Linked DNA regions of Solanum lycopersicum. The protein of the gene in region 1 interacts with the protein of each later gene in a pairwise test. Links are inferred from orthologs where the notes say so. Each region holds a gene or a part of one and is shown in the gene's direction. Other genes may lie near its edges.

What was found.
Region 2: the proteins of HY5 (region 1) and B-box zinc finger protein 22 interact in binary tests that used the Arabidopsis thaliana proteins (3 or more experiments, as listed by UniProt). The link is inferred for Solanum lycopersicum from reciprocal best matches to the Arabidopsis thaliana genes HY5 and LZF1.
Region 3: the proteins of HY5 (region 1) and BBX20 interact in binary tests that used the Arabidopsis thaliana proteins (3 or more experiments, as listed by UniProt). The link is inferred for Solanum lycopersicum from reciprocal best matches to the Arabidopsis thaliana genes HY5 and BZS1.

The regions. Positions count from the first base shown.
Region 1 is NC_090807.1:48,172,366-48,179,451, reverse strand, and holds HY5 (transcription factor HY5), read left to right. Parts: upstream 1-2,780; 5' UTR 2,781-2,842; coding exon 2,843-2,939; intron 2,940-3,093; coding exon 3,094-3,271; intron 3,272-3,403; coding exon 3,404-3,560; intron 3,561-5,885; coding exon 5,886-5,930; 3' UTR 5,931-6,318; downstream 6,319-7,086.
Region 2 is NC_090806.1:67,407,345-67,414,165, forward strand, and holds B-box zinc finger protein 22, read left to right. Parts: upstream 1-2,050; 5' UTR 2,051-2,113; coding exon 2,114-2,259; intron 2,260-2,338; coding exon 2,339-2,456; intron 2,457-3,483; coding exon 3,484-3,912; intron 3,913-4,858; coding exon 4,859-5,143; 3' UTR 5,144-5,485; downstream 5,486-6,821. UniProt on the Arabidopsis thaliana protein: Acts as a positive regulator of seedling photomorphogenesis and light-regulated inhibition of hypocotyl elongation, independently and in concert with HY5 and BBX21.
Region 3 is NC_090800.1:93,030,966-93,037,046, forward strand, and holds BBX20 (B-box zinc finger protein 20), read left to right. Parts: upstream 1-2,455; 5' UTR 2,456-2,592; coding exon 2,593-2,778; intron 2,779-3,231; coding exon 3,232-3,723; 3' UTR 3,724-3,832; coding exon of another isoform or gene 3,833-3,840; 3' UTR 3,841-3,863; downstream 3,864-6,081. Other genes in the region: kinesin-like protein KIN-7D, mitochondrial, read right to left, coding at 5,565-5,647, 5,729-5,858. UniProt on the Arabidopsis thaliana protein: Acts as a positive regulator of seedling photomorphogenesis. Plays a negative role in brassinosteroid responses.

The DNA.
Region 1 (7,086 bases):
ACAAGTCCAGGAAAACATATTTATACTAGTTCATATAAACGACGAAAATAAAATATATTTACATTATCACAGACCCATCACCTATCAGGTGATCTATCTTTCCTTTGAGATTCTCAAAGAAATCCGCTACATCTAGATGCATTGGTTCAACAGTATCTTCCATGATAAAGTTGGCTTCTGCGTTATTTTTTACCTCCTTCAGGGAAGCTTGATATAGCTCAACCAGGTGCCTTGGCGTACGACAGGTACGTGGCCAATGTGCTTTTCCTCCACATTGATAACATTTGTCGTCTGAATTTTTCTTCTGCACTACGTCATGTTTTTCATTCTTCTTTTTACACTGCTGGTATTGAATGTTATTATTTAGTGCAAGACGATCATCATGATTGAAATTTCTTCCTCGACCACGGTCACGACTGGGGCCACGACCTTTTTCACGCTTAGATTGGTGAAAATTTACCGTATTTACTTCAAGAAATGGCATAGAACCAGTAGGTCGACTATCATGGTTTTTCATCAATAAGTCATTATGTTATTCAGCAACAAGGAGATGTGAAATTAATTCAGAATACTTTTTAAATCTCAATTCTCGGTATTGATGCTGCAGAAGCATACTCAAGATAGGGAAAGTGGAAAACGTTTTTTCAGCATATCATGGTCAATGATATTTTCTCCGCATAATTTTAATTGTGAGATAATTTTAAACATGACAGAGTAATACTCACTAATAGATTTAAAATCTTGAAGTCTCAAGTGGATCTAGTCATAACGTGTCTGTGGAAGGACGACCAACTTCAGGTGGTCATATCTATCTTTTAAATTGTTCCACAACATCAGAGCATCCTTAACAATGAGATATTCCATTTTCAAACCCTCATGAAGATGATAAAGGAGAAATATCATCGCCTTAGCACGATTTTGATTCGATGCTTGATTATTTTCTTGGATGATGTCTTGTAGACCCATCGCATCAAGATGAATTTCTGCATCGAGTACCCATGATAGATAGTTTTTTCCCGATATGTCTACAGCAAGAAATCCAAGTTTAGAAAGATTAGACATTATTTAAGAAAAGGAAATTTATACCTCCGAGGCTTTTAAAGTCTTTACTTGAACTGGAAGAGACTCGTGCTGGTAACGTATTATAAAGAAAGCTCGGAATATTATATAAGAAGAAGAAGACAAGAAGTATAAGATAGAGGAGAATACTTTTTCTTATTCAAGTATATGTAAGTATCATATGTGTGTCCTACAATAGTGAATGAACAACCCTATTTATAAAGTGAGAAATCACTCCAAAAGTCACCATATTAAGTATCATAATAAATAGATACATTCTTATCCAAAAAGGTTTATGAAACCTAGTGAATATGAATGATTGTTCATGTACTAACTTTATGGACTATCCACTTATTCAATGAATTTATAACATAAATTAATTTATGAATAAATATTAAATTCGTACGCTAATACATATATATTTCATAATATATAAATATATATATAATGGAGCTACGGGTCATATTTAGAGCCGTAAAAAAATGCTTGACCCACGAAGCCAGCCCAACCCAACCTTGAAATAAGTTGGGTTGAGCTTAATATTTTTGACTCATTTATAAATGAGACTTTTTTAGCTCGCCCCATTTGCCCCGTTGGCCTCGTATCCAACCTGTAAACCTCAGAGTCGAGTTCGTGGGCTATTAATTTTTAAAAATATTTATATATATATTTTTAATAATGTTTTATTTGTAAAGATTTCATTAATAATTAAATATTTTGCAAAAATAAAAAAATCAAGTATTTTGCAATATCATATTCTTGGTGTAGATGAAGATGGACTTCTTAAGGAAATAATATCACATGTTGATTCAAATATGTTCGACGGTGGAAATTAAAGCGGAGTTGTAAAACATTAATTAATGAGTCATGTAATAGTTAGAGATTCAGATTTGTTAAGTATTTAGGCTGCCTTGTTGCTGAAAACTAGTTTTTTGTGGGAGAAATGATGGAATGATCAAAATTTATCCATTAAATCTTATGTTGGCTATTATGTATTTTTGTAAGTATTCACCAAAGCGTGTGATTCATAAATGTATTTTTGTGAGTATTCGCCGAAGTGTGTCATTTATAAAGGATTTTTTATTTAAATTGATGTCGTGTTTATAGACATAAACATTCGATATTCTTTTTAAGAGAATAATATTATTTATTTTTTGGTTGAAGGGTCAATCCGTTCCAATCCGTGGCCTGCTTATGACTGATTTAAATTGTTATTTTATTGATCCTTTAATTAAATAACTAACCCGCCCAACAATTCTCTAATCCATTAAAATTTGATTGGACCAACCTATTTAACGTCTCTAATTATATTTGATTTATAATAAATAAATAAATAAATAAGAGACGGGGAAAGTATAAAAAATTCTTGAAAGTGGATAGATGGAGTGGATAAAATATCTATCATGGGCAAAACGGTAATAACAATAGCACTTTTTATTAAACCAGCAAAAATAAATGGTCCCGATGCGTTGTACCTACTTAAAAGTTTTAAGAATAATTAATCATAGCCGTTAATACTATCAAATCGAAAGGCTGCCATTTGTCCACGACAGTTACGTATGAACCTTTGATTAAGCCGACAACTTATGGCTTCTAAAGCATCCACGATCACCTCTTTATATCCGTCCGATATGAAACTGATCCAACGATTATTATTCCATAGAGGTGCTTCTCTTTCTCTCCCCTCCTTGTTTAACATTCATGTCCCGCTATTTCTTTTCTGAATAAAATACGAAACTGTACTTTTCCCTTAATTTAGTGTTTTTTTCAAGTGTAGAGAAAAATGCAAGAGCAAGCGACGAGTTCTATTGCCGCTAGTTCACTACCTTCAAGTAGTGAGAGATCATCTAGTTCAGCTTTACATCATGAACTCAAAGAAGGTAATCTTTTTTAAAAAAAATTTAAATCCAGCTTTTTAACATTTAATTTTGACGAATTTATGGAGTAATTTTTTGAAGAATGTGTTGTTTTGGGTTAGGTATGGTTGAGATTTTGAAATAGTTTTTAAAAAACATTTTGTGTTTTTTTGTGAAGGTATGGAGAGTGATGATGAGATCAGAAGAGTGCCGGAGATGGGCGGAGAAGCGACGGGGACAACGTCAGCTTCTGGAAGAGATGGAGTATCGGCCGCCGGTCAAGCTCAACCATCAGCTGGGACTCAAAGGAAGAGAGGAAGAAGCCCAGCTGACAAAGAAAACAAAAGGTTAAAAAGGTAAAAACCTTAAACATCATGCCACGTAGGTGTATCTACTTGTCACATGTTATGGGCTTCCACACTTTCTTTTTTTGGATAGCAGTGGCATTTTAGTTAATATTGTATTTTTTTTTGGTGGGGTTGAAAAAGATTGTTGAGAAATAGAGTATCAGCACAACAAGCAAGGGAGAGGAAGAAAGCATATTTGATAGATCTGGAAGCAAGGGTGAAGGAATTGGAAACAAAGAATGCAGAACTTGAAGAGAGGTTGTCTACTTTGCAAAATGAGAACCAAATGCTTAGACATGTAAACATTCTTCTCTCTACTTCTATTTTTGCAATAGAATTGTTCATCTATATATCCTATATGCTTGAACGTGTGCCATGTCCGGTCTAATTACTATTCAGATACTTCTTCCACTTACCTCTATTTCTACTGAATCCATTCACAGCCAAACTCTCACCTCCCCCCGCATTTCTACATTCGTGCATCTTTCTCTTCACATATCTGAATCTCTTCCCGCATCTTATTCTCTTTCGAAACCACACTCAGCTTGTTTCAACTGTCCTGATTTTATTCTATATCTCCTAGTATATGTGTCCACACATCCATCACAATATCTTCATTTCCACAACTTTCATCTTTTGAACGTGAGAGTGCTCAACTACATGTACTTGCAAAGGCGTATTCAGGATTTCGGCAAAATGGATGCACAATTACGAATAAAATGCATCTTAAATATAAATTTGATCAATTTGACTTTAAAGTTTCTAATATAAAACCATTAAACTTTTAAAATTGTAGGTGCAAAATATATAATACTACTAGTTTAAATTTTAATGCACACATTTGATTTAATTATACATATAAAATATTTTTTAGGAATTTTTAATGTAATACACTTCAAAATTTTTGAAAAAATTAAGGAAAAAAAAAGAAGAAAAATTAGTTAAAACGCTAAAAGTATATAACCAATAACTACTTGTAGAGGTGCTACTTAAAAAGACAAGATAGATATCTAAGATTTTAATTTCTATCCTCACAGAGGTGCACCCAATCATCGTCATCATATTATTATACGATACTTTAACTGTGGGTTCACACATCTATATTTAAATATTTTTCTTAAAATATAACACTATTATATTTGATCTAGAGATGGTAGCATGGGTTCATGTGAACCCATGACACCCCCTCTAGATATGCCCCTGTATACTCAACCCCATACGACATAGTTGGTCTAACCGTCACTATGTAGAATTTCTCTTTATGTTTTGGTGGAACCTTCTTATCACTAGCAACTCAGATGCAAGTCTCTATGTCATACACGTTGCACCAATACAGTGAGTGACATCCTCGTCAATCACCCCATTTTCTTGGATAACGGACCAATATACTTGAATAGAGTATAGCACCAAAAGTTGTGGTCTATTGTTCAATGAAGAAGTTGAGAGCCATGAGATCTCAAGTTCAAATTCAATAGAGTAAAAGAGCTACTAGGTGATTGTTTCTGTATGTTCTAGCCTTGGTGAATATAGTTACCTGGTATTTGATGCTGGTTGGAGGTGATGATAGGTATCTCGGGTAATTAGTTAAGGTGCGGGAAAGCAGCCTTAAAAATAAATTAGATGAATGGGGGGATTATCCAGAAACAATTTATAAGCTCAGTCATTTCTTTGGTTTAGCTCACTCTTATATCGGGCTTTTGTTATGTCCCATCAATTATTTATTAAACATTGAAGACGAGGAGACAAACTATGAATTATCAACAATATGCTGTGACTTCAGCCTCCTGAAGTTACATTAGTATTATGTAATTTATGTGCAGTAGAAATGTACTAGCGTATGAACATAGATCAAAGCATGGAAGCTTTCTCACCTTCTATATTCCCCAATATGCATTATACTGCCCATCATATGTGTACAGAGCATTTAAGCTGAACATATAATGTATGAATGAAGTGTTCTTGTATCTTCCATAGTATATCTGGTAGCGAGAGATGTAAAGAATTGCGTAATCATCCATGATATATGATGTCAGCTTTCTACTCTTAGTTATTACCTTGTAGTAAATCTAAGAACTACGCTCATGTTAATTGGGAAGTGTAGAGATTACTTGGGTAAAACTCTCAAGGCTTGTCTGCATGAACATGTAATACCAGTAACCGGTTCCTATAAATTTCGACCTTGAGCATGTGTTGTATCTATACACATCTTTCAGCCTGTATTTAAGTCACAGGCGTGGCTATTTCATATTAACCCTTTCTTATACACTTCCCCTCTTGCCGGTTAAGATTGGTACTTATCTAGTAGAATAACTATAAGATGAGTCTTGCTGAAAATCAATAAAGACAACTTAGAAATAACAACTCTATGTGACTATCAGTCAAATCTTGGATTTATCATGATTAAACATCTAATTGTTGGAATGCCATTGACCTGATTGACAAAACATCAACTTTCATGATTTCATATTGCATATCCAATCCGCCTATAAGAATCTCCAAAGACCACACAAAAAGGAATTCAAATGCTTCAATCTTTCCATGCTGTAAATTTGCTTTCTTCAGAGATGGCCAAAAAGAAAACGGTGTATATTTGGGGTTTGACTTCTTTTGTTATAATCTGCAGATACTGAAGAACACAACAGCAGGTGCACAGGAAGGGAGGAAGTAGACATATGATCGATCTTATGTCGATATGTCAGCATTCTTGTTTAGATCCTATGTAGGCACTGAAGAGAAATTCTCTTCTGGATTTGAGAATGCATGCTAGTTTCGGGTGGATTGTTCTGATTTGATGCATTGCATACTTGCTACTCTTAACCGTTGTCGGTTATATATTATCAGCAGAGAGTGAAGGATTGTGGCTAAGCTATTCTTAAAGTCACCAGCCTTTGGTAAGTTGCATGGACTAATCTTGGATGATATATGCTACAATTACCTATAACCTTTGCTAGCGTTCCCTAGTGAGTTGAAATCTTTATTAAAAACCAAATCGATGTACTGATAAGACTCGGTGTAAAAGAATTTGTGCAATTGAAAACCAATTAGGTACATTCAAATTTGTCTTAACCTAAAATTCGTTGATTGTGTTAACTAGTTAAATTGTTAGGTTTGCATACATGCAATGGAATTGATCCAAAACCTGATTGCTCCTTTGACAATGTACAATAAAAACAAAGAAATGACGAACCTAAATATTTAGGTCCAAAGAGCAAAAAGAAAGAGGTGAAGTCCTATTTGATTATTTTTCAATTACATATATGTATAAATTTAATTCCTTACGTTATCATATATATACAAATTAAATTCCTTAGGGTAAAACTTCAATTTCATATTTACAAATATCTACCAAGAATAATTACAAGAAACTAATGTTATTTCTATTCACATTTTGTTATCAACTCATATTTTGTATGAGTTATTGTGATATCTATTATAGGTCGATTATGTGTTAAATTTATTTCACGCTAACAAAAATCTATGAAGAAAGATAATAAATAATTTTAGAATTATCTTTCTATATTTGAAATGAATAATGATGAATGGCAAAAATGTAATTTCACGCTAACAAAAATATTAAATAATTTTAGAAACATCTTAAGTAATTGTTATTACCATTAACTTATTTTATTGTTACTTCATTTTCTTTTTATTTCTTTTACGAGTTATTGTGCCATCTACTTTATTATTACTTCATTTTCTTTTTATTTCTTTTACGAGTTATTGTGCCATCTACTTTATTATTACTTCATTTTCTTTTTATTTCTTTTACGAGTTATTGTGCCATCTACTTTATTATTACTCTATTTTACTATTACTTTAATTTT
Region 2 (6,821 bases), on another chromosome or scaffold:
GATTTCTCATTTATTCAAATTTTGGTGCATATTCAATACATATATGATTATACCAATGAATAAAAAAAATCACATATTTTTTTAAATACTTTTAAAATCTGATTTTCAATATCAGTCATTGCCACATCAAATCGTTTCGTATAAATTCCATCGGAATAACAAGTGATTGAACTTGTAAATAGGAAAGTCTATTGAAATTTAATCATTTTTCGTATTTATTAATTTAAAAAAGAAAAAGTATTTTAATACTTGATTTTGACTCTTTACATAGATATTATCTAACATATAATCTTTCTTTTGGCTTCTATTAAAAAAAAAAAGAAGATCTTTTTCGGATAAAGTATTCTAATGGATATTATTCTTGTCTTTTTATTGATATTTTTTTATAGGACTATAGTAATATATATAAAATAACAAAATATCATTGGGAGTAGATACAATAAAATCGTTAACAGTACCCACATCCAGCTCAGCGGGTCACCATTATAAACCCGACACGTTCTCTCAAAATCAACCATTTCTTTATTTTCCCCCAAATTTCTCAGAAAGCTCACAGTTTATTCGTTTCATTTACTGCATAAACCCATTTTTGCAACTTCCAGATCTTTTGCTTCTTCATACGTCGGAGTGCTGAAGAAGTGATGAAGATTCAGTGTAATGTTTGTGAGGTTGCGGAGGCGAACGTGTTGTGCTGCGCCGATGAGGCGGCGTTGTGTTGGTCGTGTGATGAGAAGGTTCATGCTGCTAATAAGCTTGCTAGTAAACATCAGAGAGTTCCTTTATCTGGTTCTTCTTCATCTATGCCTATGTGTGATATCTGCCAGGTATGTAATTGTACTCAGTGAATTGAATGGATTCTGTGGATATTGCTATTCGGATTCAGCTGTGTCAGTTGTATTTACTTTTATTTGTTTTGGAGTAGCGTAAATTAGACGTAGATAAAGTTGTATTTTTTTTTTACTTTTTTGGTTTTTTTTTAGTAGTATAAGTTAATGATAGGTATTGTGGGTTTATTGATACTACTGTTTATAGAATAATAACAATATTTCTTAGTGTAATTCCACAAGTGGCGTCTGAGGGTGGTATGTATGCAGCCTTACTCTTATCTTGGGAAGGCGGTGAGACTGTGTATGATCCTTGGCTCAAGGATGAAAATACAGTCTTGATGAAAATAATGGAGAAAAGAACAGTAGTTGGAATAAGTAATATCAATGATTGAGGCAAAGGAAGCAATATGTAATGATAAAATCATAGACTAAGCTTGTATGGGAATAATAAAAATGATACTAATAAGGGAAACTTGCAGTATAAGCACTATGTCTAGGTCCTAGTCAACTTGAACCTATTGCATTTCAGAGTCTGTCTTACAACCTCCAGCCTACGGTTAACTCCGTTGTGTGTCTATTCAATCAATACTATGTTATTTGCAAATAGCATATACCATGGCACCTCCATCAGATATGTTGCATCAGTTCATCCATCACCAGACAAATTAAAACGGGCTTAAGTTGATCTATGTTGCAATCCCGTCGTGACTTGAAAGTGTTCCTAGTCTCTTCCCACTTCCGTACCCAGATCTTGGCTCCACCGTATCTGTCCTTATTCGCCCTAATGTAAGCTATGGGTACACCTCTACCCTCCAAACATCTTCACACATGACACAACCTCCTTAGGACCTTGTTGTACATACTTCTAGTTTAATGAACACCATATGTAAGTCCATCTTCCTCTCCCTATACTGACAGCCCTTCACGCCTCATCTCTACCACCCTCTCTTAAATTTTTATATTGTGACTTTGCAACTTGATACCCCTATGGTTGTCATATTTCTGTAATCTGTACATATCCCTTGTTCTTGTAAAACGAGATCATTGTACTCCACCTCTTTTGTTCGGGCAATTTTTATGTTCTAAAAATGACGGTAAACAATCGAGTTAGCCACTACATGCCTGATACTACTGTATATGTGTCTTAAAAATTTCAAGTGCTACTGAACTAATTCTTTTGTTTTGTGGAAAGATATGCAAGTAAAGTTAAAATCGAGGTGCAAATCTAATTTCTTTTAATCATGTTGTTTCAATAGAAATTGCATATTTGGTCTTTGCTTACCTTGATGTCCCACCCCTTCCCTTCAAAAAATAAAAAGGAAACCCACAGAAGAGGCAGGGAAGAACAAAATAAAGAAAGGAGATTAGGGGTATTCCTTCCTGCATGCATTATGAAGATATGCAGATCTTTTTCACGAATGGATATATGGAGGTCTAAGTTAAATATTATGCTGCCTTCTTGATTGGTTATGGTTCCATGAAAAGCTGCTGATTCATGGAAATTAATGTAGGATATGGTTTGCATATGGCATGTGGAGGGCTCATCTAGAGGTTCTTAATGTTAAACTATGGGCTACCCTTTTCCCTTATTTGGCAGTCCTTTTGGGCAAGAGATTAAGGAAGCAAGAGGTGATAGATTCCTACTTTTCTGCTTAGAGGTTTCTCAACATCTGTTTATAAGATATACTGAAATGCATTATCGGGTGATCCATGTTATAGGAATAAAAGTGGAATTCGAGATGTAATGACAGAATTCAGTCCAAACATGTGATCATCAGAAGAAAGTGTATTACACATATCAAGAAGGACAACCAATTGTGATTACTTGTTGTTCACATAAGGGTTCATGGTTAAGGATCGTTTATTGTTCACTTTCTCCTGAAGAGGAAAAACTGAGGTTGAGTCCAGTCTCCTTTATTAATTTATCTTATTGAAAAAGGGTGAAAAAAGAGGTCTTGGGATGGGGGGAGAAGGTGAGGTGATGGTGCATTTACCTCTTATAAAGGAGAAACCTAATCTGGAGCCTTAGCCATAACCTGTTCTCCAGTTCATAATTATGAATATTCATAGAGAGAAAACTATTGTTAACTTTTGCAACCCACACCTTTGCTTTAGGGGGGATCCACTCCATGTTTCAAAAAACATATAGAAGCTCAGTTAGAGGTTGAAAATGTTAGTATCACATAGGATTAAATGTGCCTGTTCAGATTGTAATGCTTACGCAATCATCTGGAGTGCTCATGATATCAAATCATGAACATTACTGGCCTTTTATTCTATTGTAAGTGCAGATATTAATCACGTTAAGGAGTTTGTGGTTATTAGTTGGACTCATACTGTTGCATGAAGCATAAGTTACCATTTGGCATAGCGGAAGTGATTGCATCTTTCTCTTCTGGAGATTTGATTTGATAGCTGAGGTTTTTATTTTCCTTTTCCTTTGTGGACCCAAAACTGTTATTTCCCAAGTTTATGAAATTCTGCTACCTTCTAATAAGAGTCCCTTCACTTCTGTGCTTCAGTGTGACTTTAGATGTATACAATTCATGTTTATTTATCTATCAATTTCTTTTTTCCTTTTTTAAATTGGTCATATCTCCAGTTTATTGGTGCCGTACTATTCTGAGTATTGATAAAAAGGATTCTATTTATGCAGGAAACAGTTGGCTATTTCTTTTGTCTTGAGGATCGGGCATTACTTTGCCGAAAATGTGATATTGCTATTCACACAGCTAATCCTCATGTTGCTGCTCACCAAAGATTTTTGCTGACTGGAGTGAAAGTAGGACTTGAACCTGTTGATCCTGGTGGTATTTCATCCTCAGGGACATCACAGTCCATTCAGAAGGTTTCTGAGCCAGAGTCTGCTCCACTTTCAAAACGGAATGCCTCAGTATCATTGGATGCTCAATTTAACAAAGTGTTACCTACCCAGGTCAGTGGCATTGAGGATTTTGCTCCTACTAAGTCTCCGTTTGCTGGAGGTTCTGCAGCTGGAAGTATGCCACAATGGCAGTTCGATGAATTTATTGGTCTGAGTGATTTCAATCAAAATTATGGATACATGGATGATGGATCATCTAAGGTACGGTTTAAGTTGTAGTTGTTGTTTGTAGTTTTCACAATTGAAATTAGATGAATTTCTTGGACTGCATTTTAATCAGAAGTATGGGATGGATGACTGATTACTTGAGGTATTATTTAGATCTTACTTTTCATGAATATCTTGGACTGCATCTGTATTTCTGATATTGGATTATCATCCAAAAGAGAAAAATCCCTGATGGAGTCTATTCCTGCCAGTAATGTTGTGTGGCATGCATGCTCTGTTATCTATACTTAAGGGTTTAAGTCGTAAGCGTGTATTTTCCCCTACAAGAAACCAAAGAATAATCTTCATCTAAAAACATGGAACTGGAAAAATGAGTTTATGGTTGGATTATCTGTTGGTAGGACCACTTTATGCATATACTGGTAGCCCCAACCCAATCTTTTGATTGGACAGACATTTTGCCACGAACTTGCCCTTCCCCTTCATATGACAAACTCATAGGTGATAAAGATTGTTGGAGTATTACCATATTGGTGATATCGCACTTCGCCAAGTAAATTTGGGCCTCTCAAATGCTTGGAACTCCGAGTCTCGATTAGTGTTGAATATAGACATTCTAAAGTGCACCATTATTATTAGCATGTGGCTGGATCACAACCTTGCTTAGGGTTGTGACAAAATAGAAGCAGCTTTAGCTATTGCATCATGCCCTTTTGTTTTGGGCATTCATGCTACAGAAAATATGCCTTGGTGTTAAGTCACATTATTGTTTCTATGGGTGCTTAGTATATGAAGATACATTTTCGACCTTATGGTTGCTAGATATGACTAGTCAATTATTTTCTAAAAAGAAATATTCGGTATATCGCTTGCCTCTTTGCTATAAGTAGAATGCATGGATATACCCAGATAATCAATAATTTGCACAGGGATTATGTTCAATGGCTTCTAAATTAGTTCCTCCATTAAAATCTATCAGGCGGATAATGGCAAACTTGGTGGAGAGTCGGACTCTTCATCAATCTTAAGAGTTGAAGATGAAGAACTAGATGGTGATGAGTGCTTGGGTCAGGTGCCAGACACATCTTGGGCAGTGCCACAAGTTCCTTCCCCACCTACGGCCTCTGGACTTTACTGGCCCAAAACTTACCAGAATCCGTTCGACTCTGCAGTGTTTGTGCCTGACATTAGTTACTCCCCTTCATCGAGCCTTCAACAACAACCTCCAAGTGGTACTCGTCTGAAACGAAGAAGGCAGTGTTAATGCACTTTAAGCTTCTTCGCTCACGTTTGTGATAGGTGATTCAGATCCCTAAGCTGTTCACTCATGTTAGTGATAGGTGTTGCAGATCCCTAAGCTCTTCACTAAAGTTAGTGATAGGTGTCTAGATAGAGCGGTGTGTGGTAGTTGAAATTTGATTTTAAAGTTGTTTCCGCAATGATTATTGTGTGTTTCTCCAATGTAAGTAACCTGCACTGTCTGCTGCAGTTACATAGAATGCCAAAAGTGTATTAGTTCCACTCCAATTCCCAGAAGTTGTACAAGAAAATGAATTTGTGTAAAACTGGAACCAGAGAAAAATGACCAGTGTATCATCTTAATTTACCTCCTCTTCACTTTTTCTCCTAGTCGATTTGAAATTGCATATTAGAAATGTGCATTTTAGTTCAATTTGTTGAATATTTGTATTCTAGCCCATCATCGACAATAATATATTCAGTGTAATTCCACAAGGGTTGGAGACAGTAACATGTATACAGACCTTACCCTTACCTTTGTGTCGGGTAGAGAGGTTATTTCTGATGATTCTTTGGTTTCCCCCACCCCACCCAAAACACACACATAGTAAAGGAGAATTCAAACATCTAGCGTCACAAGTTATATGAATATCTACATTATCATGCATTTAATGCATTGTTTACCCATATTAAATATAGACGGGTCAGGCGTTTGATTATTTTTTTTTGGTCTTAACCTATTTTCAACCCGTACAGGATCCCTTCATTTCCCAATAGCCTCATGATGCGTTGTTAAAAGTGGCTGGTCCAAGCTTTGCTTATCTTTGTATAAAATCATATTCAAAGTGGATGAAGTTAGTTATAAGTGGTCGAAATCAAGAGGCAGCTCATTTGCATTGGTACCTACTGTCAATTATTGTATAGAAGAGCTGTAAAAGCTCTACTATTTGCTAATCTAATGTTAACACATGCCTTTGCCTAACCTAAGGCCCCCCCCCACATGGGAGAAATTTGCAAATTTAGGCTTCCAACTTAAGTAAATAAGTAGACTTTGACATATATATATATATATATATATATATATATATATATATATATATATATATATAAAAACACGTGAAATGGTTGCATTAGGCTTCGAGTTGGAGAGTACTTATTGGAAAAGGGGGTTCAACTGAACTCTCCTCGATCTCTGTCTGTTTTCTAGATTTGGAAAAGCGTAGATTTTTCAAGAATGAGAATCATATGATATGTTGGAAATTTCTTATGATATCTTAATGCGTGAAAGTTAGATAGGATAATGCTATGTCCACTTAGACAAATTCAGATATTCAAGAATTGCCAGTTGTGTTATAAATTAAACAGGTCTAGTTTAAGAAATTATCAATATGTAAGATGCTTTATTTGGATTATGTTGATTTCGTCAATGTTGATCCCAAACTCTATAGCATGTTTGGAATAAAATTTCCGACTTCGTCATAAACCATAAGCAAAAAAACACATTGGTTTTGCATTGAGCAATGGTTCAAAGTTTTGGCGTAGTGGTATAATCCGACTGGCCTTATAAGTTTGCTGATAACATAAACTGTTCTTTTAGATGCTTTAAAAAGCCTTAAAAGACATAATAAACGTGCTAGCCTTTTACTTTACGAATCTTTAATAAAATAGTTGTGGTTGCCCATCATGTGCTTAGGAGCCATTTT
Region 3 (6,081 bases), on another chromosome or scaffold:
AGCCCATAACTAGTAGTATTATTAGAGTCGATAAAATTTTGTTAACTATGAATAACGAATGACGTAAGTGACATGGAATAAATATTCAAATAAATTCAAAATAACAATGCAATAAATCTATAGATAAACCCAAAATCATAATAATGCGATCATATAGAACTTTGTTCAAGATGAAGATATATATTGAAGTAAACAAATGTTCAAGTTCCATTTTAGAAAAGCTTCAAGTGTGAACTAATTAATAATGTAGGCCATTTACACAGCAACCATCGAATTTTCATATGCCAAAGTCAATTAAATTTGAAAAGCTTGATTAAGTCGTATTTGGCATAATTGTTTCTTTTTCTGTTTGAATCTTGAAATTAGAAAAATTTGTCTTTTACCTTTTCAAACTTCAAAAATACTTATTTGTTTGAACTTTTACATACCTCCAACATTGTCAACTCGTCCATTGTAACCAATCATTCAAAATTGGTCATTTTTCAACCTTTTAATTTGTAAAATTATCACTATGATTAATATGATCCCTCCACCTTTCACCAATTTTTCAACCTTTTTGTAAAATTATCACTGGGATTAATATGATCCCTCCACATATAACTGTCGTTTCGTTTGAATTCAAGTTATGATTGGATCATAATCGTTTGAATTCAAGTTATGATTGGATAAATTATGATGAGATTATTTTTTATTGAGTTTTTGATTTGTTGTATTCAAAATAAATAAATTTTAAAAACAATTTATTAGTTTATAAAAATAACCTTCATGTATGTAAAAAGTAATGTAATAAAAGGGTTGAAAGAGATATTTTTGGTCATTTAATTATTTTATCTAAGGATTACTATACCACCCAAAGGGAGGGATAACTTATCCAGAGACTAATTATTAATTCCGGGATAAGTTATTCCGAACTTGTCAACCAAATAACAAACTAAATGGTACTATAATTTAATCACATAACTATTTGGTTTTAGATTTGAACCTTGAATACTACTAATTGGACCGAAGAAAGTATCTCCTATTAGGGTTTGGTGTATCAAAGAGTCGCTCCTCCAGTTGAATTATCGGGTCCCTTTTCCGTTGCCTAGGTTACACTTTCGAAATACCCTGTAAGGGAATTTTTTCTACTCCCCAAAACTTCACTTTACATTTTATGCCACGCCGACTCCTTTATTACGCGTGGAATTAGACCAAGGGGAATCTCTATTAGAACTAGTCCCTTATGTTTCGCACATAGGAGACCTAGACAGAACCCCAGGGCTATGGAGACAACAAGTATCTATTTCTCCTCTACTCGATCGCTTTTGTTATTGGCGATGTGCGTTTTCCCCTAATGAATCTCCACAATATAATTTAAAAGATCGAGACCTCAAAATAGGTATCAAACATCGAGTGAAAATTCAAAATAATAATTTGTTGACTTAAAAAAAAAATTCAAAAATAGGATTTAACAAAAGATTTTAAAGAGAGGCTGGCTGGCTAGATCATCTATATAGGGGTAAATAGCACTTATTAAGTGTAGCCATATGTTATACAATCATCAGTTGATATTATTAGGTTTAACCCTAATAAGATGTGAATTCAAATAGTAGCTGTCAAAGCCAGCCAAACCCCACCCACCCCTTTTAATTTCTGCAAGAAAAACTAATTAAAGTGAAAGCAACTGGCTTTGTTTGCCCATAAACTGACATACTTTAGCATTTATACATATTCCATGTCCCCCTCTCTATGCCAATTATATTTGATAAATATTTATTATTTTGGTACTCTTCCTAAATAATTTGGAAATATCTACACTAATATAAATGGCTTGATCTTATTACACAAATATTTGACTAGGTAGATCTATCTAACCAAGTAATATAAATGGCTTAGCTTGTACCAAAATATTTATAAAGATCTACCTTTTACATATGTTAATTTCCATTTTCCAATTTCAAAGCTTAAGAGGGTATCACCGTATCGATCAATCAATATCAATAAATGGGATAATAACAGCTTCATCCTATCCCATGCACCAATGCCCACATTTTCACGCATCAAAATAACTGCTTGCTAAAGATTATGTCTTTTTTTTAAAAAAAAATAAAATAATAATAAATGTAATGGTAATGTTTGGATAAGTTTGTGTCTGTATATAGCGTTCAACCATCTCACCGTCATTTATTATCAAAAAGAATTTTTTAAGATAAATGATTTTGATCGAATTGTCAAATGTATAGTAGCTCATCAACTAAGGCTAGAATATAATTGAACCATTGAGTGGTGAGAGTGCGAAAGCTTTTTATAAAGTGTTTTTTTAAAAAAAAGGCAACTTGTTTGGTTATTTTGTCTTTACATTTATTTGGACATTATAGAAGCCATTGTCTTTTATTTCCAGAGATTTCTCTTTATTCAGTCATTGAAAGAGAAATTTTAATATATTTTCTGAAACTCTTCAGAGACTTTAGGTGTGAGCCCACAACGAACACAACTCCCTTTGTGCCCATAATATTTTGTCTTTTTCCCAAATTTACTCTCTTCTATTCTAAGTTTCTAACTATATATACATCTCTTTAGGGAAACAGTACAAATATTAAAAAGAAAAATAAAATGAAGATTCAATGTGATGTTTGTGATAAAGAAGAGGCATCAGTTTATTGTTCAGCAGATGAAGCCACACTTTGCCAAAGCTGTGATTATCAAGTGCATCATGCCAACAAGCTTGCAAGCAAACATCTTCGTTTTTCTCTAATTCATCCTTCGTTCAAAGATTCTCCTCTTTGTGACATTTGCCAGGTACTAATAATATTCGAGTTTGGTTTCACAGATGATCACTCAATTTAAAATTATTACGTCAAAATGTCACTTGATCTGATGAAGAAAATTGAATTAAGGAAGGTAATTTTTCGAGATAACAAATTATTAACAACATCTGAGAAATATATTGCAGTGTAAAATTTTTGCACAATCAACAATTACTACTGAAAAATATTTTAATTGAATCAGTGAGAAAAAAATGTTATCATATGAAAAAATTAGGAAGTTCCCGACTAATATAGTGATAATTTATTTATACCATGCATTTCCTCCGGTGAGCTAATTCAGTAGAACATGAGAGGAAAAATCATGATCTATTAACACATATACTAGCGATGAGCATAAAATATGGGCTGATAGTAGAACTTATTTAATTTTATGGTGTATAATGTAGAAAATTAACATTTATTTCTTATTGTATTTTATTTTCAGGAAAGACGTGCATTGCTATTTTGTAAAGAAGATAGAGCAATACTTTGCAAAGAATGTGACTTGCCTATACACAAAGCAAATGAACACACAAAGAAACACAACAGATTTCTTCTAAGTGGAGTGCAGCTATCTTCTGATATACTTGCTTCTAATTATAATAATAACCAAAATTCAATATCCCCAGCTGGATCTGCTGCAAGTAATGCTGGTACAAATAATTTTAAAGCACTTAGTGGAAATTTTGGGATGAAGAGTAATTCGATTTCGAGTACTACAGAATCGACACATAACTATTTTCATGTTGATTATGTACAAGAGGGTTCTGTTTCAACTAGTAGCATATCAGAATATTTGACTGAGACTCTTCCTGGTTGGCATGTTGAAGATTTTCTTGAATATCCCTCTTCTTCTTCCTATGGTAACTGTTTCTTTTTTACGGATTTAAAAATGTCATTAACTCGAAATATGGGCATTTTTGGATCAAATTATTGACAAAAAGGAGCATTTTAGACCAATATTATTAACTGATGACATATTTGACCATTTTTGAATATAATAAAATTTTCAGAACTTGCAACTAAATGATGCTGTTTGATTGCAGAATTTTGATCAGGTACGACCAGATGTGTAGTTTTTTCCCCCACTAAAGTGGGGATACCTCATAATATCAAATGGAGTACCTGTTCCACAGATCAACTCTCCATCAACCTAGCAACTTATAGGACAGACTTGGTAATAAGGGCATAATATCTTTTAAGATATTAAGAAAAGAGTTATATAAACTGCCATCTGACCTTTTCTTTTGGTTACTAACTTTGACCAGTTACTTTGTTTTTGGACATGTAACACATGTTGTAAGTTAAAGCCCCACTGTTCTTTTTTTTTTTTTTTGGTTATTTGTTTTTTGCAAGTCAAATCACTTCGACTTGTTGCAGTATGTTAACCTGAATGGGAATGGGTATTACTAGATGTGGGTACTTTTGTTTTTTTGCTTTGTGGGAGGCCAATCTTTTTGTAATGCTAGTGGGAAAGCCTTGTGCCTATTACCCACTTTGATTATTGAATATGGTATTCCTATTTGTTCAAGTATTCATGGCCAAATCAATTATTTATGGAAGATTGATGCAAAGATATGGCATCCAAGATTTTCGACGACGACCTTTCTAGGCAATCAATGTCAGTTCAATCATTTATAATCTACACCACGTTAATGCACAATGACAATCAAAATAACTAGTTCAAATATGAATTTTCAATATTCATTTTAGATTATGTATTGGAACACATTTCATCTTATATTCAAAATTTTAGATTATGTACTACTCGAGCTTCTCTATATTAGTACATAAATTGTTTAAACATGAAAGACTCGTTGAATATAGTCTAAAGTTAGTATGGTATCATGGCTATGCCTTATTCCCAATTGAGTTCTATAGCAGTAGACCGATCCATGTGACCTTACTAAAAGCTCATATGAGAATATTCTTTAAATGAGGGTGATGGGATGTTCTGCTTCTACTGGAAAAATTCATTAACAGTGTTCGGTAGGAATAATATTCATATTAGTTATGCGTTAAATCTTTGATATAACTTGTCTACAAACCCCACTCCTAAAATATCCTATGAAATATCTATGTATGATTATCTATGTATGATCATTGGAATCCAAGTAGTCCATATATCACATTGCACCTAAGGAATATACAAACCGGACTAGCTGGCGTGCTTGTTAAAGCTTCTGATTATTACATGTTGAAGACATTGAAGAAAGGCAAGTTAGTAGAAAAACAAAAAAACAATTCCAAGTGAAGATTTAAATTCCGAATAACCAAGAAACCAAAAAGAAATATACCATGTGGAATAACAAATAAAGAAATGTCAGACCAAAGAGAACAAGATTATAGCCCCTACAAGCTCAAAATTTTTTTACTTACACGACACAACATTGTGACTGCAGTAGTGTTCTCTATATACTACAGTTGAAGTGCAAGGATATCAAACTGTGGACAGAAGCAACTCCCTGAGTTCAAATAGTATTCGACCGTGTCCTTTGTCCCCAGTGTCTTTCTTAATTTACAGTTGATTGGTAGATAAGTGGGGAAAAAAAAGGTATACTGTTGACATTACATACAGTTGATCAATTTAAAGAATTGTTCTGAGAAAGCGAGTTTCACAAGTGTGAAGAGAACCCTCCTACAAAGAGAGGGAGAAAAGTAAGCACCTTATTGCAAGTTGTGACTTCAGAATTTATGCATATTTGTAAAATAGAATGGGAATTCACGATGAAACAACCACCAACCTTTCACCATAGCTTAAGCACTTGAAATGGCGTCTCAAGTAAAGACAAAAATCCTATCTGCAATTTCAGTCCGACAGATTGGACACTCGGCACAGGCAAGGGAACAAGATTTACACACTGCAAATCAAGACTACATTAGACAGATCCTACCCAAGGGAGTGAAGATAATCTGAGCACATAATCAGAAAGTTGACTTACAGCAAAAATGTCGGCAAGGAAGGAGCATTGCAGAAGTTAGTGATTCGAAACAGACTTTACATACATGTGAATTTGCATCTGCATTCCCCACATATGTGTGGTCCTTTTCCTTCATCTCATGCATTCGAGCCTGATGGCGCACACATAAAAGATCTTTAATACTTTGTCATATTTTGAGTCACCAAGGAACCTAAAGAAACAACAGTTGTTATTAGTAGTTTCTACCTATGCAAGAACCTAAGCACTAACAGGTATTCTGTTACCCATGTTATATCAAGTTTCCCGTTTTAGGTTCCATCTCAAAACGCTCGACACGATTTCATTAGTAATATTACACTACAGAGTCAAATTCT